Arabidopsis thaliana: one gene and its partner. The protein of the gene in region 2 interacts with the protein of the main gene of each other region in a pairwise test. Each region holds a gene or a part of one and is shown on either strand. Other genes may lie near its edges. The genes, in order: BAP1 and BON1.

What was found.
Region 1: the proteins of BON1 (region 2) and BAP1 interact in a two-hybrid assay, tested with the Arabidopsis thaliana proteins (2 studies listed by BioGRID).

What each region holds. Positions count from the first base shown.
Region 1 is NC_003074.8:22,642,798-22,659,118, reverse strand, and holds BAP1 (BON association protein 1), read left to right. Parts: upstream 1-7,520; 5' UTR 7,521-7,703; coding exon 7,704-8,282; 3' UTR 8,283-8,516; exon of another isoform or gene 8,517-8,665; intron 8,666-8,743; 3' UTR 8,744-8,960; downstream 8,961-16,321. Other genes in the region: AT3G61210 (S-adenosyl-L-methionine-dependent methyltransferases superfamily protein), read left to right, coding at 1-238; AT3G61200 (Thioesterase superfamily protein), read left to right, coding at 769-1,044, 1,138-1,284, 1,377-1,520; LCR54 (low-molecular-weight cysteine-rich 54), read left to right, coding at 10,981-11,029, 11,167-11,348; AT3G61180 (RING/U-box superfamily protein), read right to left, coding at 11,829-12,005, 12,101-12,265, 12,347-12,479, 12,575-12,694, 12,895-13,439; LCR53 (low-molecular-weight cysteine-rich 53), read left to right, coding at 14,328-14,376, 14,471-14,649; LCR52 (low-molecular-weight cysteine-rich 52), read left to right, coding at 15,810-15,858, 15,952-16,136. UniProt on the Arabidopsis thaliana protein: Negative regulator of cell death and defense responses. Exhibits calcium-dependent phospholipid binding properties.
Region 2 is NC_003076.8:24,857,742-24,874,101, forward strand, and holds the start of BON1 (Calcium-dependent phospholipid-binding Copine family protein), read right to left. Parts: upstream 1,601-16,360; 5' UTR 1,558-1,600; intron 1,532-1,557; exon of another isoform or gene 1,454-1,531; coding exon of another isoform or gene 1,410-1,453; coding exon 1,257-1,409; intron 1,094-1,256; coding exon 1,046-1,093; intron 960-1,045; coding exon 811-959; intron 729-810; coding exon 680-728; intron 606-679; coding exon 549-605; intron 408-548; coding exon 222-407; intron 129-221; coding exon 1-128. Other genes in the region: AT5G61910 (DCD (Development and Cell Death) domain protein), read right to left, coding at 1-128, 222-407, 549-605, 680-728, 811-959, 1,046-1,093, 1,257-1,453, 3,112-3,220 and 5 more; AT5G61920 (FLX-like protein), read left to right, coding at 7,089-7,657, 7,740-7,887; APO3 (APO RNA-binding protein (DUF794)), read right to left, coding at 8,489-9,311, 9,539-9,924; AT5G61940 (Ubiquitin carboxyl-terminal hydrolase-related protein), read left to right, coding at 10,204-12,384, 12,459-12,587, 12,685-12,837, 13,068-13,114, 13,197-13,357, 13,449-13,552, 13,653-13,844, 13,950-14,156 and 4 more; AT5G61950 (Ubiquitin carboxyl-terminal hydrolase-related protein), read left to right, coding at 15,825-16,360. UniProt on the Arabidopsis thaliana protein: Negative regulator of cell death and defense responses. Negative regulator of several R genes, including SNC1. May have effects in promoting growth and development.

The DNA of each region.
Region 1 (16,321 bases), on a different chromosome or scaffold from region 2:
TAAAAACATTAGGATGGGGACTCAAGGAAGGCCTAAAGCTCTTGACATCCCACACATGCTTTCGCTAGATGGATTTCTAGGGTTCTTAAAATCATGGCAGCCTCTAGTGAAAGCAAAGGAGCAAGGAGAGGATCTTTTAACTTCTTATATGATTGATGAGTTTAAGGAAGCTTGGGGTGATGATGAACAAGTCAAGGATGTTCACTACAAGGCATTTATGCTTGCAGGGAAACTTTAGGTAATTAATATATGTTCCCCTTTGAGATATATATTAACTATATGTCATACACGCATGTCATCAATGATCAATCGAATTAGGATTGAAAACTTATGTTTAACAGGTCTTGAGAGCAACCTGGTTGATTTAAATGCGGATCATTACTTTGTATAACTTTCGTTTCTGTATAAATTAATATATTAATTAATATATTTATAGCACTGTAAATATAAAGATGTTATATATAAATAAAAGGTTAATATAAGCAAGATGCTCATATCTGAAATAAATTTCTTCACAAATTGATTTTCATTAGTTACACTTACCCAAATAACACTATTTAATAAATCTAATTCAAAAATTTAAAATAGTGAATAAACTAATTGATCGGCATAAAAAAAATTGTGGCTATAGTTTTGTACACTTCACCTAAAAAAGTTCTTACAGTTTTTTACTGTCTAAAAATAGGAAAAAAATAATTACAAAAGAGAGAAAAGTCAACATTACACAAAAAAAAAATCAATTTGGAAAAAAATCAGAGTAGGTTAAAAATGAATTGGGCAAAATTCCGTGAAACTGGGAGCCCAGAAGACACCGACATGTCTTCTACTCCGATCTCGTCCGACACGACGGCGGTGTCCAAAGTGATCGATCCAAATTACGTATTAATGGTTGCTGATTTCTTCAAAGCTATTTCCCCAGACGAATCTTGCAACGATTTCACCTCTTTCGACTCTTTCTCCGTCTTATTTCAAAACAATACCAGAGCTCTCTCCATCGCACGCGGCCGTGTCTCGTGCTCCGTCACCGTCACGCCAGGCATATCCGTAATCATCTTCTTCTCTCTAATTAGATCAAATGGGTTTCGTAAAGTTTCGATCTTTGATTTGTAAAATTGATTGGTTTCGTTGTGAAAACAGAATTTCTTTAAGGGGTTACATGGAGGAGCGGTGGCATCAATTGCAGAGAGAGTAGCGATGGCTTGTGTGAAAACTGTTGTGTCTGAAGACAAACATCTGTTCATTGGTGAATTGAGTATGTCTTATCTCTCTTCTGCTCCTATTTCGGTAAGCCACCTAACATTCATTCTCGTCTCTCTTAAGACTCTCTCTGATCTTCAAAGCACAGAAGCTTATATTGTTTGAGATTTATTTTGCAGAGTGAATTGTTGGTGGAGGGAACGGTGGTGAGGACTGGGAGGAATCTGTCGGTGGTGACTGTTGAGTTCAAGATCAAGGAGACCATGAAAGTCACTTACCTATCTCGTGCTACTTTTTACCATTCTCCCATCTCTAAGCTTTAAAGCTTTTTCACATGCTCAGTGATCTTTTGCTGATCTATTTACATTCTTCTGTTCAATAAAACAAGATTCTGTATACAGATATTACTGTCTTTAATCAGTTTATACAACACTACTACATTATCATCCACCTACGAAGAATTTTGCATCCCCATTTAGCAGAGTATGACAAGGTGAGATCTCTGAAGTCTCTAAAGTAATCAAGTGCAGTGGTTTGACATAGATACATGAATGGATGCCGTTTGTGTTGGAAAGTATAGATCTATGGAAGAGCATCCGGGAACCAGGTTTAGGCCTCAGGCGTATATTGCTTAGGAAAAGGCCTCATCACGTTTCTCGGTGTTTCCATCAAGGACACCAAGTAAGATTTCCTGAAAATGGTAACTTGCATGATTCTTACACGAAATCAACCCATCTATCAAGCTAGCTGTAATTAGATTGGGGGCCTCAAATATTTAGTAAAATGGTGGTGGTGCATCAGATGTGTCACAGCCTGTGAGAGAGAAGTACAAAAGGAATCAATGTTTAAATTGGTAGTGTGCCACAACAATCTCACATACAGGTCCTCTTTTATTGGTCACTTGCTGCTGCTCAAAATGTTTTCACCTGCTTCCACTAGCGTCTATCATCACTTCATCGCAAGATTTCTGGTTAAGAAAATGCTCAGAGACCCAATTCACTGACAAATGTAGATCTTTTAATATTGAGTTCCTGATAACATGCTCAAATTGGGTTTACGAAACTGTAAGAACCAGAAAGCCATGCCATATTGCCATCCCATACCGTGTGGTAGAGAGCTTAAATGGAGCAATAAGATAATTGGGCTATTGATATAATTAAGTGGGCTTTTGCCCATTTATCACTGCTACCCAGTACCCAACTACCCATGTACGCTTTTCTTATAAGTTCCTACACATTATCCCACATCGCTAATATGACAAAAAACACTTGATTGTATATAAAGTGTGAGGAAGCATTGTTGGTCACGACCTTACTTGAACAGGATCTGTTCTATAGGCTCGTACCTCTGTTTCCTTGATTTCTAAGGAGACAGGCCCTTAACCCTGGTTGATGAACCATGGCCGTGCGATCAGAGCGTGATTGACGGCTACGATCGTCTTAGGACGCATCTGGTGCTGTAGAGGATCGTTACTCGGCTCGGTTCTACCTTGCCGGGGTGGTTGCACGGCGGTCTGACAGGTTCCATTTTTTTTCACTCCTTATATTGTCTTGTGGGATGTTTTGAGATGACCACCAAATTTGATATTCGAGCACGATTTTTAAAATTTTACAGTAATGTGGGTATTTCGTCCCAAGTCAACCACTTTATATGTACAACTCTACATTCCCTCTACGAAGATAGTGCATCCCAATAATGAGCAGACTATGAGAAGCTAGCAGAGATATTCTTCTTTTTTTGGTTTAAAGAAAAGCTAAAGTCTGTCAAGGAATCAAGTCCAATTGGATCCTGCACTGAATACCATTCGTGTATGAGGCATGGAACTAACGAAGGAGCATTCAGGAACACCTGCTTTGAAAAAAGGCATCACCATGGTACTCGTCAATGGAATCTCTAGCTTGTGTAGACCAGGATTTACATAAAGCCACAAGTAGGAGCTAGCTCATGTAAATGGAGAAATGCAAAAGTGATTTGAGAGCACTGATCATCACAAATCACATTAAAATAATGATGCTTATGAACATACCTCATCTAGAAATCTCTCAACAACCCTAAAAAGTATCTCTGTGTCTTTCGGTTTTAGCAAATTTTACATGTAATAATGAGAATGCGGATATTCATAATTCTGTTTCATTTCATCGTAATGAACTCGGAAATTCATAAGCCCATCTTGAATTCCTCATAATTGCTGTCTTGACCTGTTAAAAAACAAACAAACCAAGAGTCAACCTTGACCTGTATACCATCGTATTGTCTTAGTCGTATCCATGTTTAATTTCGATAGTGTGAATATATGTACGAGTTATAGACGATATATAACACTTTTTGATCGTTTTGTGATTAAATCACATGACATAAATTATATGTCATGTCAAGGCTAATATCCAAAATTTTATGAAAGAAAAGAGAACAATTTTTTTCCTATTAATAACAAAAATGATCATCATTGACTAAATCATATGATATGTCCAAGTTTATCCTGTGATACGATGCAACTGTTGTTTCTTTCCATTTTTCCAAATTATAGACCATTAAATGTCAACTGGGATACACAGTACACTGCATCAGTGCATTCAAAATTTCCAATGACAATTACTAGCTCTGGACCAAAAAATTAAGTACCGCTAATCATTTTTTCATTTAATGAAAGATTGGTAAGATGTGTTATGAGGTCACCGAGTATCATGTCACGCACATGACTCTGCATTATCTGACAGAGATGCAAATGAGAATCATAAGATAGAGTAGATATGTGGAAGTTCGTGGAAATTTAGATTTTATAGACTTGCTATAGGTATTTATAGGTCAACTTCTTTTAGTGTAGCTTTCCGGATATATATGCAACGTAAGGCACAATTTTCGTCTAATAATTACTAATAAATTCATTCACCTAACTTTATTTCGAATTTGATAAGATTATGAAGTGACTAGGTAACAATAAGATGTACTAATTTATAGGCTCTAACCGGTGAAATCATTTGTGGGGAATAAGCCAAATTATACGCTTAAACATGAAGAATGATGCTGACATATAATCTTTTTTCTTGGTGGATATGCTGATCATATATAATCTGTTAAATAATTAGCATTTAGCAAATATGTTAGCAAATTAACCATAAAACAATATTTTTTAAGAATTTTATTTTTTGATAATAAATATTAGCTAACTTGGTATATATAAAACCTAATACCGATCTTTAGGTAATTAGATGGAAACATATGTTGGCAAATGGGTGAGTTCATAATTTTAACATAAATGTAAATTGTTCAAAATTTCTCAATGTAACAGCTAGGTTTTTGTCTTGATTTCACTGTCTTTATCGAATACTGTAGTAGGTTTCCCAGCCACTGCCTTTTTTAAATATATGTATGTAATATTTTTCTAAGGCTCGATCGGAATCAAAATGGAAAATCCCCACCATATCCTATCAAAATGGAAATACACATCATATCCTATCATTTCCCTTTGTCGCATATGTAAAAACACTATTAAATTCGTTGTCAGGAACACTTGAAAGTGGCTTCGATCGGTGACTTTAGTCTTTAGATGAAGTCAATGGACTTGGCAATGTTTTTTTACCCAATATTTCCGGTTTTATAAATCTAGTGAAGTTCCAGACACTGTGATTTAAACATTATTTCGGAGGAGACTAAGTTATCCGTTTTAGTCTCTAACCAATTTAGACGTATTTAGAGTTCAGTTCCAAACTTCACAACTAATAAGAAAAGAAAAGAAAAAACAACTTCTTATGGTTGATATACGAATTGATTCAGTTTCGATGGCTATATGATACACGCCGATTTAATTACTTTGGTAGCAAATTAGACCCTTAATTTGAAGAAATAGATAAATTTGCAAACCTAGCTACCAATGCGATTAATCGATTATATATCAGATATCATTGTTTCACCAAGAAAAAACACTATAATTATTCAGTGTCAGAATATTTTACACGCAAGTACTATAGTTGATAGATCGCACTATAATAAAATTATCAGATGGGGTTTTAATTCCACAAAGTGTGCTGACAAACACATGGTGACGTCACACATTGTGATCCATGCATGCATGAAAAATCCAAGGCATGCTAGTATAAGATTAGACAACGTAACTCCTCCTGTTATAACAATATGATCATTACCCTTTTATAGTACATATGGCCAATCTATCTCAAATTTATACAAACTAGTATATAGCACACCCATACGTTAATTAAAAACACAATGTAAATCGGTTTGATATTACAAGTTAGCTTTTTGAACATTAAGGGCTATTATATTTATCTTTTATTAAAAAATGATAATTAAGGGGCATTTCCACATAGAAAAATATATGTAGTATATATAGAATCGTATATATGCGACTATGATCAGTTTGCGGCTCTCGAGTGTTGTGGGACGTTAAGTTGTTCTTCCTCCAAATCGAATGGCCGTAAAATGTTAGCTTTTCAGATTATGAGAAGACTTTTTGAAAACTTGACGCAAAGATTAGAAAATTGAAGCTGTCGAGTTAATGTATTTTGCTCTACATCCAAATTTTTTTTTTAATACTTGAAAAAAGATATACAATGCGAGTAGAAAACAAAATACAACGTTTCATGGAAATCAACAAGAGAAAAAAGGTTCCAACGAAATTCGTAACTGCAGGTTAACCCAAACAGATGTTTCCAATACATGAGAAATTCGAAAGTTATGTTTTTTTTTTCTTTCTGCAAATGATGTTTTGATGATATATATGCGGTACATATTTTCAAAAATAGATATTATATTTTTTAAGGCATATATATTACGTGGTGAAGACTTAATTGTAATTGTACCTTACGTGCAAACATGATCACATAATCATCATAAGAAACCATAAATTTCTTTACTATTTGTTTTACTATCTTCACTTTAAATTGAAGTTTATTTTTTTGCACAACCTGTCCAAGAATTAAGGAATGGTACAAGTGTACAACCGTACAAGTAGGACATGGAGTCAACGACTCCCCCAATATTTTCCATGAGTTTTCGTTCCACTCGTAAAAAAAGAAAAAGACGAAAGTAATCTATACGTATTAGATAATTAGTATTTTTGATTGTTTGATAAAGTCTACGTATTTGAATGTCTAAGTAAATTCCAACCTTCTTAAACAAAAGTTAACTCCATTTACACTAAGAGGTCGTACGAAAATATATTCAAATGAGTTGAATAATTCTTGATCAATATTTGGTGAAAAGTTATAACTATAGTTTCCGTTCAAATAAACGTTTTGCGAAGGAATTTTCCACATAATTTTCTCACAAGTTAAGTTTTTTAACATCAAGAAAAAGTATTTTGATGTTATTATCCTGAGTATGTAAGTTCTAATTAATATCTAAAAATATAATTAAGACTCTGTCGACAACTAAATATCAAGGCCATATAGAGCATACTTAACAAAAAAAAAAAACTTACACCATAATACGATACGAGTATGGACACTTCATAATTTTAGTAAATTATTTAGAACATGATTACCACATTTTATTTTATACGACAAAACTACATGGATTTTAGGAAATCTTGAGCTGGAGTTGAGATAAAAAAGAGTCAATTTCAAAAACGAATAATTAAGTAGATCTTAAGGAAGAAATAAACGAGTACTTTCCTTTATACAATTATACTCGTGTTTCATCGTAGCTGCTGGTACGCGCATTTTTTTATAACAACGAACGTTCTCGCGTCTCGCCGCGTTTATCACGCTGCTGGATTCAACTCGCTTATGCGGTTATGCCACATTGTTTTAATTCCTTTTTGTCGTATTACACTTTTAACTAGACAACATTATTCAAAAAACAAATTGTGTTTATATTAATTAGAAATCTTGAGATTGATGTTACGTAAATAAACTAACATCGTGATTCGCGAGATTCGAAATGTCATATAATCACAAAACTAAATTTTTTTTTTTATTATTATTATACTAGTAATAAAATACTCAGAATTTAGTTTATTTTATATTAAAAAATGTTTTTAAAAATGTAAATATATTTGAGAATTTATGACCACTTATAATTTATAGTCCTTTTCATAATTTACACATTCATCTAAATAGAAGAAAATGAAGGAGTAATATTTAAGCTGAAGCACAAAATTATATATGAACTAACACAGCAAAGAGTTAAGTATTATTTATCAAAAAACAAAAAATAATGATTCATTTGAAAACAGTTTTATTGTTTTCATAAAATATATTCAAACAATTTTATTTTATTTTTTGATATAAAACCGAATTCAAATGAACAAAATACTAATCTAAAATTTAAACGTAATTTCCTTGTCTTTTTTTTTTGTTGTCTTTGCCCTTTTTTGTTTGGTCGACTTCTTTATATCTTGATAATGAGCTGGCGGGAAAAAGAGAAGAAATCTCCGAGCGACTTCTTTCCAAACTTCCTTGTCACCTTCCTAAGTGATGTTGTCTATATATAAACTTGTTCTTTCATTCTACTTAATGATTAGACCAACAAATAAACATTAAACCCAAATGATATATTTTGGTAGATCAATCGACAATCATTATACAACAATGATGACAAAAACATTGGAGATTGATTTGAGATCAGCAGAAGGGCTTAAGCTAAACCGGAGACCCATCAAGAAAAAGACTTTCGCCGTCGTAAAAATCGACGAGAAATGTCGAAAATCTAATCTTGACGAATCGAGAAGAAGCAATCCTACATGGAACTATAAATCAGAGATGCCCATCAATGGTAATGAACAGTTTATCTTCATTGAGGTATTTTATCGAACAGGTTCTGGGCATGATAAAAAAATCGGAGAAGCTAAAATCCCAACGAATGATTTCATGGGAAGGTATTCACCTGAAGGTCACTTAAACTTCTTGAGCTATAGATTGAGAGATGAGTTTGGTGATAAGTGTGGGATCGTCAATCTTTCGATTTTGGTTAAATCGGATCCCACCAGAGATTACGGCGCGTGTTCGTCCCAAGCGGCGGTTACTGGTTTGTGGAGGCCGAGATTAGAGACGGCATCGATTGATGGATACGGTGGCCGGACTGTTACCGGAGTTCCGGTTTGGGGTCTGTATCAACGCCAATTTTAAAATCTTTTTTTTTTGGGGGGGGATGCACATATTATTAATTCTTCGTCTTTGTTCCATAGATTTTCCCAATTTGGAATTGAGGAACAAAGATGTGTGATTAATTTTTGTTATAATACTCACGAAACCAAAATTGAAAATAGAAAAGTCAAATTTGTTCGACGATGATATCTAAGAACTTGTTGTTATAGTTCGTGCATGGTGTGTTTGTTGGAAGAAGAAAACAAAAAAAAAAAAGTCTTGCAATTGTTCTGGTTTGTATTTAATGATTGTGAGTTATTGTAACGTTACTTGCGTGGTGATTTGTTGCGGATATGATTAAACAAATATCTAGTGGTATGTTTATAATCAATTTAAATTGTTTTGAGAATGTTACGTCATATAATCTTTTTTTTTTTTTGTCAAAGTTACGTCATATAATCTATGATATTTAATCCTTCAAAAGAAGAAGGATTTTCCTCAAGTAAAAAAAAAAAAAAAAAACAGAGACAAATTGAAATATTTATATTTGTTTCACTATGATAGATTATGGGCATGTTTACAAAAAAATCGAAATGAAATTGTAATATGTTTATGCTGTGACAATTTTATACCGCACAACTTTAAGACTAGATAAAAGTAGTTTCTCTGCTGGTTAGAGAAGAGATAAGACTTCCACGGATATAAAATGTGCAGTGTTAGATGTACCTCACGTGGGCACTTTGTTATGGACTTATTTTGGCTTCACTACGACCGTCTGTTCTTGTTTATGATTTTTTGTTTGAATTGATTTACTAATTAACAACTTCACAAGATTATAGAAATTTCAACCATTTTGGTAAAAGTTTGTTGGCGCAATTGGGCTTAGTCTCTGATTTCGGCCGACTTTTAAAATAGCGGCCACTGGCTTCAAGCCTTTTACTAAATCCACACGTTTCTCTCTCGTTCGTTACTTACGAGTTACGGCTTACGACTACAACACAAAACCCATTATTATTTTAGATAATCTTTATATGACTCTTCCTCTTTATCGCCCCACTAAAAACCAAAATTTTTGAACCAAACCAAACCAGTATTCGGATTAATTATCCCTACTTACAATCATATACTCATGTCAGGAGGACAACTGTATACACCCAATATTTTTAGTTTTCTTAGATACATAGTTTAATAATCAAAAATTATGATTATCCTAACGGACTAATTCATATATTATATGCTACTTTGAGTGTTCTCACACATCTGATGTTGCATATAACAAAACTAGGTATGATTTATCAAGTTTTTGTTTATTTCCATTTATATATCAAGTTTCTAAATCTCTTTCCTGTTCTTATAATTTTTTTCTTTATTTTCGAGAATCTATTTAATTATTTATTGACTTTTCATTTTTGTTTTATTCATGTATCATATAGACTATTATGTATAATTAACCAAGTTCTTATTTGTTTCAAATTTTATTTTATTCTTTTAGATATTTTTCTTATTTGTTTCAAAAGATCTCTTTCCGTTTACCTACTTAATTACTAGTTGATTTATATTAAAAAAAACTAGTTTTAGATTTTGTGATTGATTATATATATATATATATATGATATTTGGGTGTACATTATCGTTTTACTTTAAAGTTTTTCATTTCTATTATATCATCTAAAATGACTAAAACCATCGTTATTGCTATCTTCATAGTCGTCCTCTTCTAGGTTTAGGTTTGCTTTATACATATAACATATTAAATGTATTTTCACCTTTTTCTCATTTGTTCACAGTTCAGTGTGTTGATATCACTTCTTTATTTTATATTAAAATTTTGAAATTATATATTTTATTATTATTATTAGGGATGGTGACTAAGGAAACACAAGCAGAAGGAGAAAAAGTGTGTGTCATCATAATCTTATAACACCAACCGAAGGCTGTAAAGCTTCGCCGTGTGATGCTATGTGTGCTTCAAGGTTTAAGGGAGTAGGCGGGTGTTCTAAAACCGATCAGTTTACCTGCAACTGCATGTTTATTTGCAAAACATGATTTGTCTCTGTTATCCATAAATCATCATCAAAATTTGTTTTTTTTTTTGTATCAAACCATCATCAAATAGTAATAACAAAGCAACGGGTTTGGAAAAATTAATATTGCAGTCTCCAGGTCCTCTTTCTTTGTTCTTTCCTCTGTAATGATCAAAGAATTATAAACATGTTTTAAGGTAATGATGAGCTCATCACATTCACAAAGACTGAGAGCACAAATTTCCTCCTCCTCACACTTGCTCATTGCCACTATGTTCACCATTTTTGAGAATATGGAATTTGGAGAGGGCAAGTCGCGTTGATCCTTAGCCATTTGTCTACACATAAACTGTAGAAATGTTGTCTACAAGGAAGTTTTGTCGGACTTTTAAAATAGCGGCAATATTGGCTTTAAGCCTTTAACAGTTTAACTACTTCCACACGCTTCTCTCTTGTTGCTACTTACGATTACAGAATAACCACATTAGTATGGTAGATAATCGTAATATGATCTCTTTCTCTTTTCCACTTTTATACGTTTCCACTTTTAAGTTAATTTCTCTTTGTTTGAATACAACATCTACTTAATTACTTGTTGATTTTTAACTAATTTTAGAGATTTTGTGATATCTTATATATGACATTCACGTGTAGATGATCATTACACTCATTGTCATCTTATTTTTGATAATTTCATTTCTGTTGTATTATCAAAAATGACTAAAGCCATCACTCTTGCTATCTTTATGGTCGTCCTCGTTTTAGGTTTGCTTTATACATAACACATATTTTAATATTTTCCACGTTCCGTCTTTATTATTCATACTAGTTTTTCTTCAACAACACCTTTTATTTTTCTATCAAAAGGAAACTGAGACTATGTTTTAATTTTTTTGTATTAGGGATGGTGACAAAGGAAACGCAAGGAGAAGAAAAACAGTGTTATGATTATCTTTTAACACCGCAGGAAAACTGCGAAGGTTTGATATGCGCACATGAATGTACTATGCAGCATGGTGGAAACGGCGTGTGTGTTGATACTACAAGCACGGTCTGCATCTGCACTTATGACTGCACCAGTTGATTTGTCTTCTGTTATCCACAAACTATATCATCAATCTTTGACTTACTACGTTGAATAAATTTTTAGAATACAATTGATTGCAGTGATTTATATATATATTTTTGAATGTGAATTCTGATTAAATAGTGATCTCTCTCTCTCTTTTTCACCTCACTACAATGACGTCACAGCAATATAAACATGCATGGTTCATCACCGTACATTAATCTAATTAATCCGTTGCTTAAAAACACCAAACGGCTAAAATCACAACTGACTCGATGAATAACATCTTCCAACCGAACTATATATACTTATTGCATTTACAAATATCATATCCAAAAAGACAAGATGTGCAGCTTCATCTCAAAACAAATCTCAAGGTCTTCTTTCTTGTTCTTTCCTCTGTAATGGTCAAAAGAACAAACAGGCTTTGAAGTAAATGATGATGATGAGCTCATCACATTCCACAAAGATTGAACAGCAAAATCTTTCTCCTCATCACACTTGTTCACTGCCACTAGGTTCACCATTTTTGAGGATATTGAATTTGCAGAGAGGGCAAGTAGCGTTGATCCTTAGCCATTTGTCTACACATAAACTGTGAAAATGGTGTCTACAAGGAAGCTCCCTTAGTTCTACTCCATCTTCATAAGCACATAGACAAATGCTGCATTCCTGCAATGGTTTTTTTTTTCCGGTTTTGCTAAAGTCAGTTCAGTGTCTTTATCCAAATTCGATAGAAAATGGGAGATTTGATTATGGTTACTTACAGCATCTTCGCTTAATAACATACGTTCGGTTTGAGACTCGGTATCTAATCCAGTCATTATCCCTCCTTGAGTTTCCCGTATTTCGCCATTCACTTTCTCAGAATTCTTTACTGTGAGAAACTTGAATTTTAAAAGCCTCTCTATCTCTTCATCCGGTGCACCTTCCTGAAATTTACAAATCGCTTAATAGGATTCACCAAGAAACATGAGACTCATTTGTTCTTCATCATCATAATGTTTCTTTACCTGATCTGCTAATGCGTACAAGATCGCAATGATGCAAGGTAAACAGCAACAAACAGCAATACCAATAAGACTAGCAACCGCTACGCAAATGACAACAAACATAACATCAAACGCAAGGAATGCAACACAGAGCCTGCAAAACACACAAGAAACAAAGATTAAATAAATCACAGAAACAAACTCTTGAGAATACAAAATCACAACAGCCAACTTTTGTTAGAAACAAACCAGTAGAGTTGTGGCGAAGATTGAGCTAGTGCCTCGGTATCAGCCGTCACCCAGTAAAACCCGATGATCCACCACACAAAAGAGAACATGGTATTCGCAGATTCAAGGTGCTTAGTGAAACTAGAATAGGAAACAAACCACATGAGAGTAGATCAATGGGAAACAGTTCTCATTCAGTTCTTTATTTCTATACAATCCTAAAAGTTTCCTTCAACCTAACATGGCTCTGAATTCTAAGCTAGTATAAGTCTATCACAAGAACCAACATTGCTCTGAATCTAAGCTAGTATAATGCTGTAGCCATAAGAAAGAAATTGAACCTAGTTCCATGGTCATCATCATCAGTGTTGTTAATGCTATAGCCATCAGATTCATCTTCACTTCCGCTAAGAGACTCGTGATTGGAGGAATCTTCACCACTAGGAGGAGGAGAATTAGCAACACGGCGACGTTTATACTCAGCAATGACACATCCAACATGAAACAAACACTGAACATTATACCCAATGATCCACAACCTAAGAGGAACATCAGGATCTTCATCAGAACTAAACCCTAGAATCGCGATTGAAACAATCACAAATAGGAAATTCCAAAGTATATCGAGAACTATAATGGGTTTAGAGTAAGCCCATTGACTCTGCCGTTCCTCAAGCTGCTCAGCCGCCACCTCACGGACTCGAACGGAGGGCTCACGGAGCATCATCCGGCGGTTGCTAGCACGGCGGAGAAGTCTCGACGCCGCGCCACGAATCGGCTGAGAGGACCGTGGGCGGTTACGTCTGTTCCGGCCAAGAAGCGGCGAAGCGTCCATCGTATCAGTCGTCGGAGAAGAAGATACGGTAGAAGGGATCGATTGATTCATCAATTAGAAAGATTGGATCTTGGGTAATCGGGTTGATCCAGAATCTCGATGGATCGGGTTTGAATTCGCTGGAAATCTGTCGACTTTGCGGGGTGGATGATTCTAGGTTTCGAGGACCAGTTTCTATCTAATGGATAATTGACAAAACGACAAGAGAATGTCTTGTCCCCAATAAACGTTTTGATATCATGAGACTACAGTAGTTTTATTCTTCCGGGAAATTCTAAAAAAATACATAAACTTAATGTAGTTGCTCAAATCTTTTTATTTTCCAAAAGGACTTTTTATATTTTTGCTAACATTTTTTGTACCCCCACAATTTGTGTTATGTTAAGTTTATATCTAAATTATATCATTGTAGTAGACATACTTTATTTTCGAGGTTTAAGGCTCAATTCAATATCTAAATTTTGAGAGTTTAAACTCCAAATATGCGTATTATAGTTAGAAGGGGATTATTTGATGGATCCTTACAACTTATTTTTTAAAGATTAATCCAACTTATTGTACATGAAAATCAGAATTGTAAGATAATTAACTGGATTTTATTTACATATATTTTATAGATAAAAATCTATGAGAATGCACCTTGGACCATTCAATGTATTACAAATTTTAAAATTATTAGTTGTATATATAAGAGAAGCTCTCTTATTTAATTTTATTTTAATTGATTTTGTAAATATCCTTCCTATGTTTATATATTTTATGATTTTGTTTCCATTCCCACCATCTAAATAACTATTTATTTATTGATTTTGTCTACTTTTTTTTATTCATGTACATACTATATGTATATATTTAATTTCTTTTATATATATATAATGATATTCACATCTATATTATCATCAACATTTCTGGTTTTTTACTCTAAAATTTTTATCAAAGATGGCTAAATCCACCATATTCGCTATTTTCATGATCGTCTTCGTTCTAGGTTTGCGTTACATATACCATTCTTTAAAACATTTAATACATCTTTTTGGTTCTATGAAGATTGTGTTTAAAGCTTATGTTTTAATATTTGTTAGGGATGGTAACGAAAGAGACGAAAGGACAAGAAATGTGTCGTGATCTTTTAATGAGAGCTAAAAACTGTGACGATAGCACTTGTGCTACTCTGTGTAAGCAAAAATGGAAAGGAAATGGATCGTGCTTCCCAAACGTATATAGAAAAAGCTGCCTCTGCACATTTCCTTGCAAAACTTGAACTCTTACAAAGTCAAATTGTAATTTATAATAGTAATAAAATAATGATAATAAAACTAATGATAATGACAATGTCACAATGATAATGACATGAAATAAAATTAAACTTACACAATGTCTTATATTATTATATAAATTCTGATTTCATTTTCTTATTTCACATGAACTATAAGCTACTACTTGAGCATATGAGCTTCACAGGGATGGATCATGGATATAACAATTATTTTACAAAATTAAAACATTGGTATATTTGAAACAAAAGTCTTAAAAACACATGAATGAAAGCGGAATGAATAATCTTAGTTATTCCTTATCTAAATTAAAAACATATACATATTCATTAACTAAATAAAATCTGACCTACCAAAAAAAAAACAAAATCAAATCCAATGGTTTTGATGTTGGGCAAGAAACAGGAAATCTAGTTACAAAAAAGAGGTTTTCTTTCATATCTTATTGTTGAATTAGATGGCATTTAAATCAAAAGTTTATCTCATTCTAAAAGTGTTATTTGAATTCAATTCTATTTATATTTGAACAGATTACTTTCTAAAACACTTACTTCCATTCTCACTATCTCTTGACTTGTCCATCTTATGAATATACAGTTTATTTGGATTTTTATTTTCTTTCTAATTAATATACTTGAATGCTTTCCAAATCAAATGCGTCCAACTTTTTTTTCTATTAGGATTGATTGTATATTAGACACGTAGACACACAACTTCACACATATATATAAAGATGATATTTACAAGTCACATATATTACAAAAACCCTCATTTGGTTTAAGATATTAAAAGAACTTCAAATCCTTTTTTTATAGATAAATATCAATGAGAATGCAATTTGGACCATTCAATATATTACAAAATTTAAATTATATATATATAAAGCTCTCTTATTTTATTTAATTTTTATTGATTTTTGTAAATATCCTTCCTATGTTTATATATTTTATGATTTTGTTTCCATTCCCATCATCTATATAACTATTTATTTATTGAATTTGTCTATTTTTTATTTTTTTTTCTTCATGTATCATACTATATATATATATATATATATTTAATTACTTATATATATATATATATATAATATTCACATATATATTATCATCAGCATTTCTGTTTTTTTACTCTGAAATTTTAATCAAAGATGTCTAAATCCACCATTCTCGCTATTTTCATGATCGTCCTCGTTCTAGGTTTGCCTTACATTTACCATTCTTTAAAACATTTAATACATTTTTTTTGGTTTTATAAATTTTTTTTTAAAGATTATTTAAAATATTTGTTAGGGAAGGTAACGAAAGAGACGCAAGGACAAGAAATGTGTCGTGATATTTTAATGAAAGCTAAGAACTGTGATGAAGGCACTTGTGATACTCTGTGTAAGCAAAAATGGAAAGGAAATGGATCGTGCTTCCCAAACGTTTATACTTATAGAAAAAGTTGTCTCTGCACATTTCCTTGCAAAACTTAACTTTTATAGACTCAAATTCTAATTTAAAATAGTAATAAAATTATGATAATAAAACTAATAATAATGATAATGATAATGATAATGATAATGATAATGATAATGATAATGACAATGACATGAATTAAAACTAAACTTACACAATGTCTTATATTATTATATAAATTCTGATTTCATTTTCTTATTTC
Region 2 (16,360 bases):
CCCACTTGTTGAACACTAAGAAAGACTGGCTTCCAAATAGGGTTAAGATCATTCTTCCGGACTTCAGTTTTAGACACGGGAATTGGAGTTCCATGCTCTACAATCTTTGATACCACCAAAAAGGGGTCCTAAAGTTGAGCCACAACAAAAAAAAAGTGTTATATTGATGTCAGAACTAGAATTTTATTAAAATGGTAAAGAGAATAAACAACAAAACTTACACTTTTTGAAAAAAGATCCTTAGATTCCAAATTCGAACATCTAAATACTATCTCTGTTGAAATCTTAGAAGCAAGGGACTCCTCAGCATGGATGATAAGCTTTCCGTGGTGAGGCTGAGCCTGTGGAGCAAAGCCATCTTTGCGCTTGAGTTCTAATGTGCTCGTCCTAGTTGATTTTGTGATTATCTGCGTGGTTGAAAAGTTAAATATAAAGTATTCTCTCTCTCTCTCTCTTATAAGCTAGGCAATAAAACAAAATTTCTGATGTGCCTCTCAGAGAACCAGCAAAAACAAGTGCACATATATTGTCAATGTCAAAAATGATACCTCAGACAATGCACATGTTGCCTCACCAAGAAACTGCTGTTCGTCAAGCTTAAGCATCTGAAAAGTATTAACATATTGAGAAAAGTGAACATCAGATCAAATGAAAATGCAGGCAGTAAATAAACAATTACCTCCTCTCTTGAATTTTGAAATTTGGTGTCAACATCATACACACGAAACCTGAGTATAAAGAAACCAACACAAAGAGTCAGGTAAAGGTTCATCTCTTTCCTCAAGTCACACAAGATAATAAGAAACTTACACCAATGTCTGCACAGTCTCGAAATGATAAGCGACTATAAATTTCTTAATCCATTTCGGAGCTAAAGAGTTCAAAACAACTTCACTGCGGAAAACTTCTGAAAGTGTTGCATCTTTTTCTTTTTGATATACAACAACCATAGGATCACTCTGCAAAAAAACAAAAAACAAAAAGTTTGTCATTAACTAAAATGACCAGCTATGAAGACTAATTCAATTTTGAATAACAAAGTAACCTTGGAGAGCACGTCGCGGTCTCGCAAATTCGAAGCTGAAAACGATAGCTGCATCAACAAAAAACAGTATCAAACATGAATCCTCAGAATATACAGGGAAAATCGAATTTCGCAGTTTTCTTCTTTCAAACGAAGCACACACATATCATTGTTAAACGTTTTTTGGCGGAAGTAGAGAAAAAACACGAGAGATAGATGATAGTGAAGGAACCTCTATCTGCGAGAAGAGTCCGTTGAAACCTTTGGACTTGAGATAGTAATCAAGGGCGTCGTTAGTCGCACCGAGAGCGGCGGAGGAACCACTTCCACCAACGCCGGCTGTAGCACCAGCACCGGAGGCGACATCGGAGCAACAATTCCCCATAATTTTTGATTTCCCAACAAAAAAAACTGCGGATTCAAAAGTACCTGGATCGAACAACAGAGACAAACATTTTTTTGTGAGGAATTTCGGAAGAAGAAGAAGATTCAGAAGAAAATGATAATCTGGGAGAGCAGTAAATGGGACCCACTTGTCTAAGTCGCGCTTTTTCTTTTCTTTTAATTGACTCGCTCTGTTTTACAGCGTCTCCTTCTTATATAGGTTTTTTTTGTTTGTTTTCATTTGATTAATATTGACTTACGAAATATCCAAGAAACGTTAAGCTGTTTTCTGAGAAATTCGCTCTCTTTTTTTTTTTTGTATTTATTGTAGTAAACGACGTGTTGGTCAATATCAGATTAACCTCAGACATATTTAATTAGAGCAATTAACTTCTGTGACATAATCTTTCCAGCTTACAATATCAGAATATTGTTATCGATTATAATTGTTATATCAAATACATATTATCTATGAAATCCTTTATAATATTTTATATGACAAACAGTTGGTCTTTAATAATTTTATTTGCAATGCACTAATAGTATATATATAATTCTTTTTGCCAACTGGATCTGTGATGCTTTTAGCGAAGAATTGTAATAATTTTTTTATTATTATTATTTACATGAAATTTGAGAAATTTTCAGACGAGTACAAGTCGTTGTTGCTATGGGGACATAAAGTGAGCAATAGGAAATAGTGAGAGAGTTTCACGTGAGAACATTTTACAAAGATAATTAGTAGTTTATTACCATGGAGGTCATACTTTGTTTATCTTTAACACAAATCGTAAGGTTCACACAACTCAGAAATTTTGTAGAAAAAAATCCCACAGATCATATCAGTAAATGATGATAGATGGGGACTATAACTTTCAAAAAGTGGATAAAGATAATATAATAGACATCTATTGAAAGAAGCCAACGTTAACTCCAAATTTATCAGGAAAATTTGCATTTTTCAATTCCAATTAAAAAGACCTCGAGACAATTCAGAGAGTTGGATCTGATCATGTTTTTCCCAATTTCAGTATTTTTTCCTTCGTCAATAATATTTTGATGATCTGTGACACAACCAACAAAGCTGTAAACATACGGGACCCTTGACCCAAAAAAAAAGAAACAAGAGGGCAAGACCAGAGCCTTAAGTAAATTCTGTAGCAAACAAAACAAAGTAGGTGGAAAGAGTGAGATAGGTGTCTTTTAAAATCTTTTTTATTGGAGAAGAAAGAAATAGATAAAAAGTTTTTTTGAAAGAGAAAGAGAAAAAACAAAGAACATGTGAATTGCAGTGCAAGTGCTCAAACATACATAGTGGGAGACTTAGGAGTCTTTTCTTTTCTTTTTTGTCTACCAATAGATATGGCTTAGGGTTTAGGCCACTTAATCTTAGAGCCAATAAGCATATTCTTGGTCCCTAGGTTTCGTTTGAGAGAGTGTTTAAGATGAACCTTTTTGAAGGTAGTATTCTTAATAGCAAATCCCAAGTATTAAACATGACCATACTAAAAGAAATGTTTTAGCATAAGTAATGATAACAGAGTTATAATATGTTTTATTAACTTTAAATCCCAATCAGAATTGCATTTCAGATTGCACTCCTGAAACGGGACTTAAAGAAGTTTTGATGGTTTGAGGAATTTCCTCATGCGCAGCTCAGAAATGAATATGATCAAACCGTAACATAGAACTTTTAAACTTACAGTAAACGGAGCTGGAGACTCTAGTTTTATGTCCTTGACCTTCTTTTCCACTGAGTGCACCAGTTCGAGTCCATGCTTCCGCACCCATCACGCACAAGTTTCTCAGATCCTGCAATACCAATGCAAATAGGTTTTCAGCAAATCGTTTCTCACCTGAACCGAAACAATGCTTTAAATACACGAGACTTAACAGAATCCTCTTTGGCATACCAGAGTAGCAACACTTTGCTTTAACGTTTTAAGATGTTTGATAATACGTTGTGGTTGCATCTGCTGTCTGAGGGTAATAAGACTGATGCACTGCATTCCAATCTCCTGTTGCAGAATATGCCTGGTTTGCAGCATTACAATCAGTTGTCCCAGGAGCCCTTGGTACAGAACCTTGCGTCACACCTTGTTGACTGTATACAACAGCGTGAGCATGGTATTGCGGCATGTAGCCAACAGCTTGAGCATGTGGTTGCATTGTGTATTCAACAGCTTGAGCATGTGGTTGCAAAGCATACCCAGTTGCGGCAGCATGGGGTTGCTGAGCGTACCCGGTAGCTGCAGCATGGAGTTGCAGAGCATACCCAGTAGCTACAGCATGGAGTTGCTGAGCGTGCGCGGTCGCTGCAGCATAGGGTTGCTGAGCGTGCGCGGTAGCTGCAGCATGGGGTTGCTGAGAATACCCGGTTGCCGCCGCATGGGGTTGCTGAGTGTACCCGGCTGCCGCCGCATGGGGTTGCTGAGTGTACCCGGTTGCTGCAGCATAGGTTTGCTGAGAGTACCCGGTTGATGCGGCATGAGGTTGCTGAGAGTACCCGGTTGCTGCATCATGAGGTTGCTGAGAGTACCCGGTTGCTGCATCATGAGGTTGCTGAGAGTACCCGGTTGCCGCATCATGAGGTTGCTGAGAGTACCCAATTTCATGAGGTTTTTGAATATATCCACCAGCATGGAGTTGAGTAGTAGGCCCCATAGCTGCATAATATTGCTGTTGTGAGTAACTATCTGTTCCAGCATATGATTGTGTACTTTCTTCCACATTCCCAGGCTGTGAATGCGTGCTATAATTACCCGCTACACTTTGAGGTTGGTGTGTGTAACCAATTGCTCCAGCAGGTGGTTGTGAAGCTTCACCATGTGCCGGTGTAGGATAGCCAGCTGTCTCGGTATGAGATTGAGCAACACTAACTGCCTGCATATCTGGTTGCATGGACTTTGTAGTATTGGAAACTGTTGATGCTTCTGGGTGATGGTAAGTCCCAGCAGGGATCTCATGCTGCTGACTAGCTTCCCCTTCCTTTTGTGATGCTGAATTATAGAACTCACTTCTATACACACTCCCATTAGCTGCAGAAGCAGAAGGATGCTCACTCCCAGATAAAGTCGAAGGGTAATTTTTATTATCAGAATAAGGTACAGCAAACTGGTCCTTCTCTGATGGTGTTGCCGGATGATATTCATTTTCTGAGGCCAAGCGATCTGATGCAGATCCATATCTGTCATTGCAAAAAAACCAAGCCCTATGATTACACATTCACATATAAGTAACTGCAAAGCCAGGAAATAGGAACAATGTAAACATCTGAAGAGTGGAGGAACCTAGTAGAGTTCTCAGGTTTAGCTATGATTTTAAACATCTGATGGCTACAACTTCAGGTCTTCAGTGAGCTATGATCGACATATTTGGGCAAAGATAAAAGTTCACCATAGGTACCTCCGAATATTAGATAAAATGGTGAGGTATTTGAGTTGAGGATCCTGAATAGATGACCGCGGAGGTTCGGACCGAGGAGAATCTGAGCGAGAAGGGTCTCCGAGCAACCGTAGTTGCCGAGCTTCTGTAGGATAATAAGGCTGATTCAAATTTGACAGACTTTCTCTAGGTGGGGTCGTGTAGTCGTCTTGTCTAAAGTAACTATGTTGAAGCAGAGATGTGCGGGGAACAGGCTGATGGGCCATAACAGAGCCAAGTCGTGGTTCTACATGACGAGCAGACAGAGGATCTAAAACCGATGAAGCATTTCTAAGATGTGTAGCCGCTATGAACCTTTCCTCAAACGATAGAGTCCTAGGTGCTGAAGCTCTGGAAGCCAACCTATGAGGCAACAAATCGAGTTCTGGAGACGTAAATGAACGAAACAATGATAACAGAGACATAACCTGCAATCCATGAACATTTTTGTTTAGCATATCATAATTGAAACTTGAAAGCCAAGCCGGAAAGCCTGGAACTTTGAAAGGCTGTGTTATAAATAGCAAGAAAAAGTGTATTACTTGGTGAGGAGAAAGTTCTTGCTTAAATTTGGAACCTTTGTAATTTTCATAGATAGCAGACTTGAAAGTGTTTTCTGTCAAGGGTAAACAGTTCATGACAATTCTAAATCCAACCTGCCAAAATCAAGTAAGAAAATAGAGAAAAGAACAATCTTAGGCAGTGCCATATAAACAAAATCATATGTGTTTCACACACAGGCTTACTTGAGCTGGATATTTCCCTTCAAAAGCTTCAGGTTCTATATCCAACCTGCCACCAACAGTAGCTTCATACACACCATAAAGAAGTCTCTTCTCAAAGTCATAGAGGAAAAGCTTCATGCCTGGCTTTATACTCTCAACAACGTCTTTTCCTCCTCTTGGAATCCCGAAAACACGGTAACGGTAGCAATCGGTTTTCGTTCTCCCATTACACATAAAGATATAACCAGGTAGTTGCTCATGATGATCTAGTCTCCTTTCTATTCCTTTTTCTAATCCAATGGTTGTGTTTCCATTCCCATAAGCAGCCACAAGACTTCTATTATAACCCGGAGGAGCAAAGTATTGGGAGGCAGTAACATGTGAATTACCATTAGTTTGTTCACCATCTGAGAAATCCATCTCCGTCTCCATCGCTTCTGCCATTTTCAATGCATTTCAGTACAAGTACGAAGATGACACTGAAATTACAAATTTGGAGCTTAAAGCGATTGAAACAAATGTGGGATCAAGAAATAATAATAAATACCTCAAAACGAATTAGGTTATGAGAATCTAACAGAAAAAGCTTCTTGAATTTCAGAAAAAATAAAATCAAAGAGAGATATGTGAATGAGGTAAGAAGAGCAAGAACAAAACTTACTTATCGGATATTGAAACCCTAGAGACAGAAATTGAAAATCAGGAAGATTGAATTCGAGAGATATTTTTAGCGATCAGCTCATTATTAGCTTTCGATTTTTATTCAGATAATTTCAAGCGTGCGAATCTGAATTGATGAAGTTGGATTCTTCTTCCCTTGTTCAAAAAAGTCGGGAGAAGAAGATGACTTTCAGAGAAGGAAGCTGAAGGTCACGTGACAGGCATGGAAGGGAAACTATTAAAATGGGCCAATTACTATCTAATGGGCCTTAATGGATTAATACTGGCCCAAATCTATAAACGAAACTAATTTGGCGTCTTTAATGGTTTTTAAATCACAATTTACAGAGAACTGGAACTTTTTTCTGACAAGCCGAGACCAAAGCTGGTGCTGTTGTGGAATCGATCGTTGTCTTTGATTTGATTAGAGATCAGGTTTTAGAGCATAAAGCTCTTAATTTTGCGACACTTATCTCATTTCGGTGTTCGGTTTCAGCTAATTTTAATCGAAGATCATCTCTCTTTGTGAATTTCAGGTTCGTCCAATTGTGATAAGGATGATATAAGGGTTTCTTAGGATTTGGTAAATTGGGTCTTGTTGTTAGCTTGAGAATCTAATTCGTAATTCCTCTTTCTGGGTTTTCTTCTAGCTCGTGTCAAGATACGATGTCTACAGATTTGCCATTGTCTTCGATTACTCAATCTCATTGCATAGATAATTTGTCTGAAAGAAGATAGCATAGTGTTGAATTTAGAATTTGCACTCAATTCGCTTCTTAAAGTTTAAGTTTTTAGGTTAAAAAGGAACTCTTTGTTTTTCTTTGTTCAATCTAAGTTTTTGAGTGGAGTCTTGTCTTTTTCTTTCTTCCAGAATGTCTTCAAGGGAGAGGATAGGTTCAAATCATCATAGCCGAGTTAGCCAAGGTATGTCAACTAGTGGATCATCATCGTCGAGGCACCACGATACCATTTCTTCGACTTCGGATCCTCGTCATCTTCGAGACCACCAGATTTCACTTTCTGATATTCTAGAAAACAAGATTGCAGTTCAAGCTGCTGAGATAGACCGGCTCTCTAATGACAACCGAAAACTAGCTTCAAGCTACGTAGCTCTCAAGGAAGACTTAACCGTGGCTGACCGCGAAGTCCAGGGGCTAAGAGCTCACATCAGAAAGACGGAAACAGACCACGAGATTCAGATCCGATCGACTCTTGAGAAAATAGCGAAAATGGAGGGTATGGTCAAGAATCGAGAGAATATAAGGAGGGAAGTGCAATCAGCTCACATTGAGGCTCATAGATTGGCGAGAGAACGTGAGGAGCTTGCTTCAAAGGTGAAGTTGGGAATGAAAGATTTGAAGAAGGTTTGTCTTGAGGCAGAGAGTTTAGAGGCGTCGAGTCAAGAGCTTGAGCGGTTGAAAGAGGAGCATCAGAGATTACGGTAAAAGAATTGTCTTTTACGTGTCAAGTAACTGTTAAAGATTCATCATCAGTTTTTTTAACCAATTGGTTTGATGGAACAGGAAAGAGTTCGAGGAAGAGAAGAGTGGGAACGTAGAGAAACTTGCGCAATTGAAAGGGATGGAGAGGAAGATAATTGGAGCGGTTAAAGCGATTGAGAAGCTGCGAAGTGAGATCTCAACCGCAAGGAACAAAGCTGTCGAGAATTGAATGGTTTTTACTTTGTAGGCTGACCAAGAGGCTCCTCTATATAGGGAGGATCACAAGAACCGCAAGGATCGCAAGAGGATCAAAGCTGTATATGAGTTTTCATTTTTTCTATATCAACCTGTTTCTTCTGAAAAAAAGATAGAGAGTAATGAGTTAGAGAAGTGCTTGAATGGTCGATCACAACATCTGCTGAGAATTAAACACCAATGTAGAAGAAACGAAGGAGATTATTCTACCGCCTAAACAAAGAGTCTTCAGCCATCTTTTTTTTTTTTTTTTTTTTTTTTGGTCAACCTGTCTTCAGCCATCTTAATACATTCTTTAGTGCCTCTCGTGTAAAACAATGTCAGTTCATCGAAAAACAAGACCGGGTTAATCTACGAATCTGGCTAATAGACAATCGCTAGTTCTATTCTGAACAGTGAACGCCTTTAAGATACCAATCTGGAACTTTAAGATTTCTTGTATAAATTTATAGGACTTCAAGAAATTGAACTGGTTCAAGGTTTAAGAATTGAGATGAACCTGAACCTAAGATTACAGGGGAGTATTTCACTGTGTCCATACTAAATCATTAAGCAATGCTGAATACTTAAAGAGGTCAAGCGACTAGATCGACCTCATCGCGTTGAGGGTAAACTACATCGAGCCTCATCATACTGTTGTACTGATCAGGTACCGGTGCACCACCTTGCACACACATCTCTATAACCGCAGGAGCCTTCCCGTAAAACCTCTTCAAGCTATTATCAAGAACAGAACCATCAGTAGGATCCCGAACATGCCACACATAGGTTGGACCGACCACATCATCAATAGTCGCTTCTTGCCAGGCATGCATTCCGTCTCGCATCTGATGCTTTGTGGCTTTACACATCCTTACTTTGTGTCCCTTTGGACCCACCTGAATCTCTGGACAATACCCACAAGTCCACACTCTGTATCTCTCCATCAGTTTCCTGACCCCTAAAACCATTTCAAACCATGACTCCATCGTCTCGAAGCTTAATTCCTTCAAGCTCTTCTTCTCTTCCTTGCAACGATCATCTTCTTGTATAAGTGTAGTAGTAGAAGTAACTGCCAATTCTGAATTTCCATCGTTGACGTCCTCAAAATCCACAATCCGTCCTTCGATGCTGTACACAGGTTTCGATCTTCGCTTGGATGGGAATTTCTCGAGGTCTACACCAGCCTGTATGCATAGCTCAAGAACCGCAGAGATTTTAGGGACAGTAAATCTCTCATCATGTATAACTCTCGGTTTCACAGCACGGTCATAGAGGTGAAAACATTTTGGGAACAACACAACATCACTCACTCTTCCTCTTTTCCAAACATGAGTCGCACTTCTTGAACCACTCCCGGGACCAGTGCAAGTCCTGATTTCATGACCTTGCTTGCCAATATGAACCTCAGCGCACAATCTGCAAACAAACCACACAAGTTCAAACTTCAAAACTAGCTAAAGCCAACTTAAGTCTCAATTTTTTTTCAAATCTCACTGGATCTTCTGTTCCAATCAATTACCACACAAAGCACGCAAAACACTTCAAGGATCAAATTCTGGTTGTATAGATTATATAAAACGCTTAAACAAGCAATAGGAAGTATCAGCAAATCAAACACAGAGATGAGACAGAGTGAAAGTAACCTGCAACGATGAACAGGAACATGATGAATGATTTTAGAGAGGCCAGAGAGCAACATGTTACGGCATCGGTGAACACAGTGAGCCACGTCGACAAGTTCCGGCACAAGTAAACCATTATCCGGTGGATCTTCGAGAACTCGACATGGTTGTAATTTTCTCAGTTGTTTCTCCTCTTTCGCACGACGAATCAACTCCTTCATCGGAGTCGGATACGGTTTCCTCTCCGATTTATCCTTCGGAGGTTTAGGTACGTCGGCGTAAAGAGGATCTTCATCATTATCAACTGAAACGTCGACGTCGAGATTGGTTAGAGATTTAATGGAAGATGAAAAATTAGATTTTCTGATTACGAAGATGGAGATTTCTACTAGCTTTCTTCTCTGCATTTTTTTTTGTCTCAAACCAAAGCTTTAGTATTTATCTTTATTAGTGGTAGTGGAGTAAATAAATGAAAAAAACTTTTTTATTTCTTTCACTTGATTTGTCGAATCTCTCTCTTGTTGCTGATCTTTTCAAGTTCGAATTTTTGTTCATACCCAACATGAAGACGATTCTAGATTCAATTATTGAGCTAGATTTGAAGATTTTCACTCATTATTTTGATGATTTATTCCGGGAAATTCTCAAACGGGTAATGCACACAAGGTGTTTGATAGAATTCCCCAATGATCAAAATTGTGTCTCTGTTTTGCTATCAAGCCTTGTCACGTGTCTTTCACGTGATGATACGGTGCCTTGCTGTCATTAGTCAGTTACTTTCGTTTGAGTTTCCCCGCGTCGACTCTGCTTCTTCTCGCGATTCAGATTTCTCTCCGAAGAAGAAAAACCCTAGAGAAAAAGAAAGCAAAAGAATCTTGAGAATCGTTTCGTTTACTATGGATTCTTCTTTCATGGAAGATGATGAGGGAGCACAACTCCTTGAAGATGCTCAAAAACTCTTTGATAATGGAGATCACATCAAGGCTTTGGAGATAATTGAAGATTTGATTTTAGTCCATGGGGAAGATATAACCGCATGGCGTCTTCATATCAGAGAAGGTAAAATGTTTGATGACCTAGCGAAGAAAACAGAGGATCCTGACGTGAAATTTGCTTACTTTTTGGCTTCTGCTGAATGCTTCTCGGAAGATGGTACGTTATCACCAATTTGTGCTAGTTCACTCTTCCTGTTGGGCCAAATGCTTGGGTCAGTATTGTATTACAAGAAGTCTTTGAAGAAAGCGAAACAAGGTTTATCTGTTAACTCTCTCCCAAGCAAGTCAGATTCTGTTGCTCAACTGAGTTTGCAAGCGCAAAGAGAATTGGACAAAAAAAATAAAGCACTGTTGAGTTTAATCAATGACGCAGAGTCCGAGATCGCATCTTCCAAGACTCTAGTTGGTTCTACTGTAAAAAACACTAAACCAAAAGTTGTGGAGTCAAAGAAAAGTCAAGACCCGCGTGAGGATGCGTTTAAAGGATTGAGGTCGTACTGGGTGGGATTGGATGTCAAGATCAAAAGGGATTTTATGAAAGTAAGCATTGCAAAGCTTACAAGTTTTGTTGAGGGAGTAGGACATTACAAAGAGGAACGAGAAGTTTTAGAGAAGGTTCTCACTTCGGCAAAGGAAGACAGAGAATGGAAATTCTGGATATGCCGAACTTTGTGTTCGAGGAAGTTCTCTAGTGCTGAAGAATGTAAGAATCATCTTGAACAACAACATGCTGCAGATTTCAAACCTTCTTCAGAAAAGGATATAGTCAAGAGGATAGGAAAAGACTGGGTTCGTAAGATAATAGTTGGAAGTTGGGAACCAGTGGATGCAGTCGCTGCCACTGAAATGATCAAGAACCAGCTCGCAGATGTGAAAGCGTTTGCATCTAAAGCTAAGAATGGATGGTCCAAAGAATGGCCTTTAGCTGTGGATGAAGAGCGCAGTAAGTTACTCAAGGAAATCAAATTGCTCCTTGTCTCTTTTTGCGACCTTAAAATTCTCTCTTGTAGCATTCGAGACTGGATGATGTGTTTTCCAGCTAAGCATCTTGGAAAACTTGAAGTTTCTGAACAGAGTCTTGTCGATTCTCGCTTAGTAGAAACACCTCATAGTATCTGTTTTCTAGAAAGTCAGGAACTCACTCAAATCCTTGAGTTTCTAAACCACATCAAATGTAAAAGGAATGATGGTACAGATCTTGTTTGCAGAGCAGTGGACAGTGTCTTGGGTCGTACTCGAGTTAAAGAAAAGATCGACTTTGACCCTCAGTTTTCATTTCTGCTTCTAGATAAAAGACTGCTGAAAATCAATGATGATCAATTCGATGATGATGAAGGGACGATCAATGTTTTTGATCCCAGTGTTCACTACGCCAAGACACCAGTTCATGGAGATGATATCATATCCTGGTTAACTGACTACAATTCAGTAGATAAGACCTTTCCCAGACCTATCAGGGAACACAATCTTGATATCTGGTTGGCTGTTCTGAAAGCTGTTAAGTTCACCTGTAGGACTCTGGGAAACAAATATGCAAAGAAATTACAGGTCGTGGACTATGATGCAGCTCTTACTGATGTCGAGAACATGTGTGTGAGAGAAAATGAAAGGAGAAGGAATCTGCCGGAAGATCAATGGAGCAGATATGCATCTCTTCTATGCGATGTGTGTGAAGAGAGAGTCCCCGAAAATTCCCTAACTACAAAATTATTCGTGTGTGCAGTACGGGATGTTTTCGAAGGAGCATTGCATCCAACACTTGATTTCCTCGATTTAGAAGATTGCTTGAATTTTATACGTGAGCACAAAAGTCTCAGTGACGATAAAGTGTTGCAGGCCATAGACCTTCTGAAATCAGTGGTCACCCAAAAGGTTCATCTTTTAATATTCATTAACAACAGAATAACATGAAATTGTCCATCTAAAAGTGTCTATATGACTTGCAGGTTCTTTTAATGGATACAAAGATCTTGCTGATTGATAATTCAAGGATGAGTTTGCTAAACAACCTCACAAGGCTTTCTGCTTTTGACAACCGCACTTATATCCTTCAACTGCTTAAACCTTTCTTGCTGGTTGGTTTGAAACTGTTATATACAGAGAGATTTTATTATCCGTCAAATTTTGCCTTTAAATTGTTTCTCATATGTTATTATGTCTCTTCTCATCCAGAACGAAATTGTGAATATGGAATCCAAAGCCAAGTCAGATGCAGCAGAAGCAGATCTTTTAAACGAGTTGGAGAAGGAGAAGCTACAATCGAAGGAGAAGCCACAATCAAAGGAGAAGCCACAATCAAAGAAGAGGAGAGATAGAAGCAAAAAGGTCTTTGAAGTTCTAATTTCTCTATTTGCTTCTCTGAAAAATATTTTACATAAGATATATCGGATAAACCTAAGTGATATCGGTTTTAAGTTCTCGGAACAAGTCAATAACGTCTTCCTATCTTATAGGGATATCATATCTTCTATGTAGATATCGTTTCCTTACTTGTAGGATTCCATGGTTTGTGTATATACTACTTGTGAGATTGATTGATCTTCTTGGCGAAACAGAAACCTTCAACGAGCATATCTAGTTCCCTTGATAAGACTGTTGAACAGTAAGTACCTCAATGGCCAGTTTCGCATGTTATAAATTGTTTTCGCGTTTTCTCTGACCAAAACGTTTTCTTACATGTACAGTAAACCTTCTGTCAACCTTAAACCGGAGAGTACATCTTCATCACTAAGAACGATCGAAGAAGGTTCTATGGAACCAGAAGATGCTCTTGCAAGTGAGACGGGTCAATTGAAAATTTCATCCAAAACTGAAATTCAAGTGGAAGCTACTAAAGATGACCCTGGTAGTTAAAAGCTTCTCGATTTGAGCAATAATTTGAATTATATTCTTGTGAGGTTCATAACTTCTTATTTCTTTCATTGACCATTTTAAAGATATGCGAAACATGCCTGGAGAAGATTCACTGTCGGAACATTTGGAGTCAGTAGCTGGAGAAGCTACAACCAGATACAATTCAGCATTTGACATGACGCTGAAGGTAAAGCAATTATCAATCAAAACAAGATTCAATACCTGAACTCTCATCTTTTGATTCCTTATTCTTTTTGAGAAGTTCACAAAAACATGTGGTATTGCAGGCCCTCTTGAACATTAAGGTTCTCAAAGAAGATTTGCTGAACCAACCATTTCAAGACCACCAGGAAGAACAAGTTCCTATTGCACTACAAAATTTATTTACTGCTGTTGTTTCAGAAGCGATACAAGATGAGGGTGTCTACAGTTGCCTCTTGAGGGACTTACTTACTTCCCAAGAAGAAGTTATTTCCATGGTTCGTGTGGAGAAGATATGCTTCTAAGCATTATTTTGTTAATTGTTTGTTGTCATTAATCTTATTTAATATCCTAAAGGTATTCTATTTTTTTGCTCTTTGCAGTCAAGTGATGCTGCTAATGTAGTAGTAGCCATCCTTGATTTTTGGCGTTGCTGGAAAAATCCAGAAAGGGAGAGCTTGGTAACTCGCCTCTTTACCTCGGCGGAAAATAAAAGAATGAGTTGTATAAAATGCAGAAGGATTACAAATTATCCACAGCAAAGTTGTTATGGCATTGTTACGGCAGCAGATACAATCAGAGAACTGAAGGTATTTATCATTTATCATCCTCGTTGTCTTTCCAGCAGAAACTGCAGGTACTTCCCCTTATATAGTTGTTTTGTGCTTAAACACATGCAGTGTGCTTTGGGGAATAGAAATTTTGTAGATATCCTAAAGGTGATCCGCTTGAGATATAAAATGGTATGTGACGCAGAAGGTTGCGGAAAGACGAACTCTGTTCAGCACATTTCAAGTAGATGCCCGCCTATCTTCACAATCGGTAAGGTTTTGACCCCCATGATTGTGATGTTTTTTTTGTACTCATATCATATATTTATGTTGGTGTTTTGTGGGTTTGCAACATCAGTATTGGAATGGGAGAATAGTGCAACTGAAAACGAAATATCTGAAACAACAAAGGCTTTTGACTGGGAGATAGATATCAGCAGGCTGTACGAAGAAGGCTTAGCACCAAACACTAAGTACAGGCTTGTGTCAATGGTAAAACATCTGAAACAGGGTCATATATGTTTGTGCTATTGTTCTTTTGTATTTCTTAGTTACAGTGTAAGAATATCTGGGATGTGATCCAGGTTGGTTACAGTGAAGGAGATGAAGAACACATATGCTTAGCTTATGAAGAAAACCGGTGGGTCAATCTCAGACGTGAGTGTATAGCAGGAGAGGTAAGTCGAAACAGTTACCTTTTGTCTACCTCAGAATTGTATAGTGAATTTAGATAAGGTAGACATGAATGATTGATATATGTGTGGTGATGGCATAGGATGTTGGTGACTGGAAGAATGTGGTCAGATTCTGTGGAGAGAGGAAGGTTCGGCCAGAGATTCTGCTTTACGAAGCTGCCTGATCGATGGCCTAACAAGTGACAATGTGGAGAAGTCTAGCATTGATGTTTCCATCTACCAGAAGACACTTTTTTATCTTTGCTTTGGTTTTTTTTTTGATGAGATCGATGTGATCCAAGTATAACTACGGTACCTCTTAATTCACTATCACTTGAGTCTTAAGAGTGTTGTTACACAAGATAGAAAACATAGAGAGCGAGAAAAAAAAGATTGAAAGAAAATGCAGAGCTTGAGCTAAACGTCTTATAGCGATTACCTCAAACGACATCGCTTAACATCATCAATAGATACAACCACTTAACCGGCTCGGTTATCTTTCTGGTTCGTTTAAATCCCCGAATACTCCGAGCGAGTTAGAGTCTTTCCTTCAACGGCAAAACCAAAACCTCTCAAGAGTTCCTTTTATTGTTTTTTCAACATCACTCTCCATTTTTTGTAAAAATAAAAATATCTAATTTTTCTTGTGTGGCTCTCCAAACATTTTCACGAATGTTGTTCATCATCAACATGAAGACCATTCCACATTCAATTCTTAACCCATATTCGAAGATTCACTCAATTTTTGGGTCTTTTTTTGATTTTTTTATTCCGAGAAAATCCCAAACGGATAATGCACACAAGGTGTTCGACAAAATTCCCCAATACTCAAAATTGTGGGTCTCTCTCTGTTTGTTTAAGGCTTGTGTCACGTGGCTCTCACGTGATATAAAAAGCCAGCCTCTTCTTCTTCAGTACCTTACGGTTATAATCGTTGATTGTTCCCGCCTCTACTCTCACAAATCTCTCTGAATCATCGTGATCCACAAAACAAAACCTTCGAGAGCAAGAATCATCGTGAAGAATCGTTACTATGGCGTCTTCTTTCAAGAAGGATGTTATGGCGGAAAGACTCTACAAAGACGCTGAAGATCTCATCGCTAAAGGAAATCACATCAAGGCCTTGGAGATACTTGAAGATTTGATTTCAATCCATTGGAATGCCAATGACGCATGGCTTCTTCATATCGAACAAGGTAATGTTTTCGTAGACCTAGCTGAAAAAGCAGAGGACCGTGACATGGAAGTCGCATACTTGTTGGGTTGTGTTGCTTGCTTTTCGCAACATGTGACGGTATTTGAACTTTGTGCACAATCACTCTTCATGTTGGGCAGAAACCTTGCGTCTGTGTCACATTACAAGAAATGCTTGAAGAAAGCAAGAGAGGCTTTATCTGATAGTAACTCTAAGAAACTGAGTTCTTCTACTCCAGTGGCTTTCCGAGCCATAGTATCCCGAAAGAAGAAAGACCTCGAGGGTTTTATCGAAGATGCAGAGTCCATGATCGCTGCTTCCAAGACTTCTCCTTTACAAAAACCTGAGCCAAAAGTTCGGGACCCAGAGAAAAC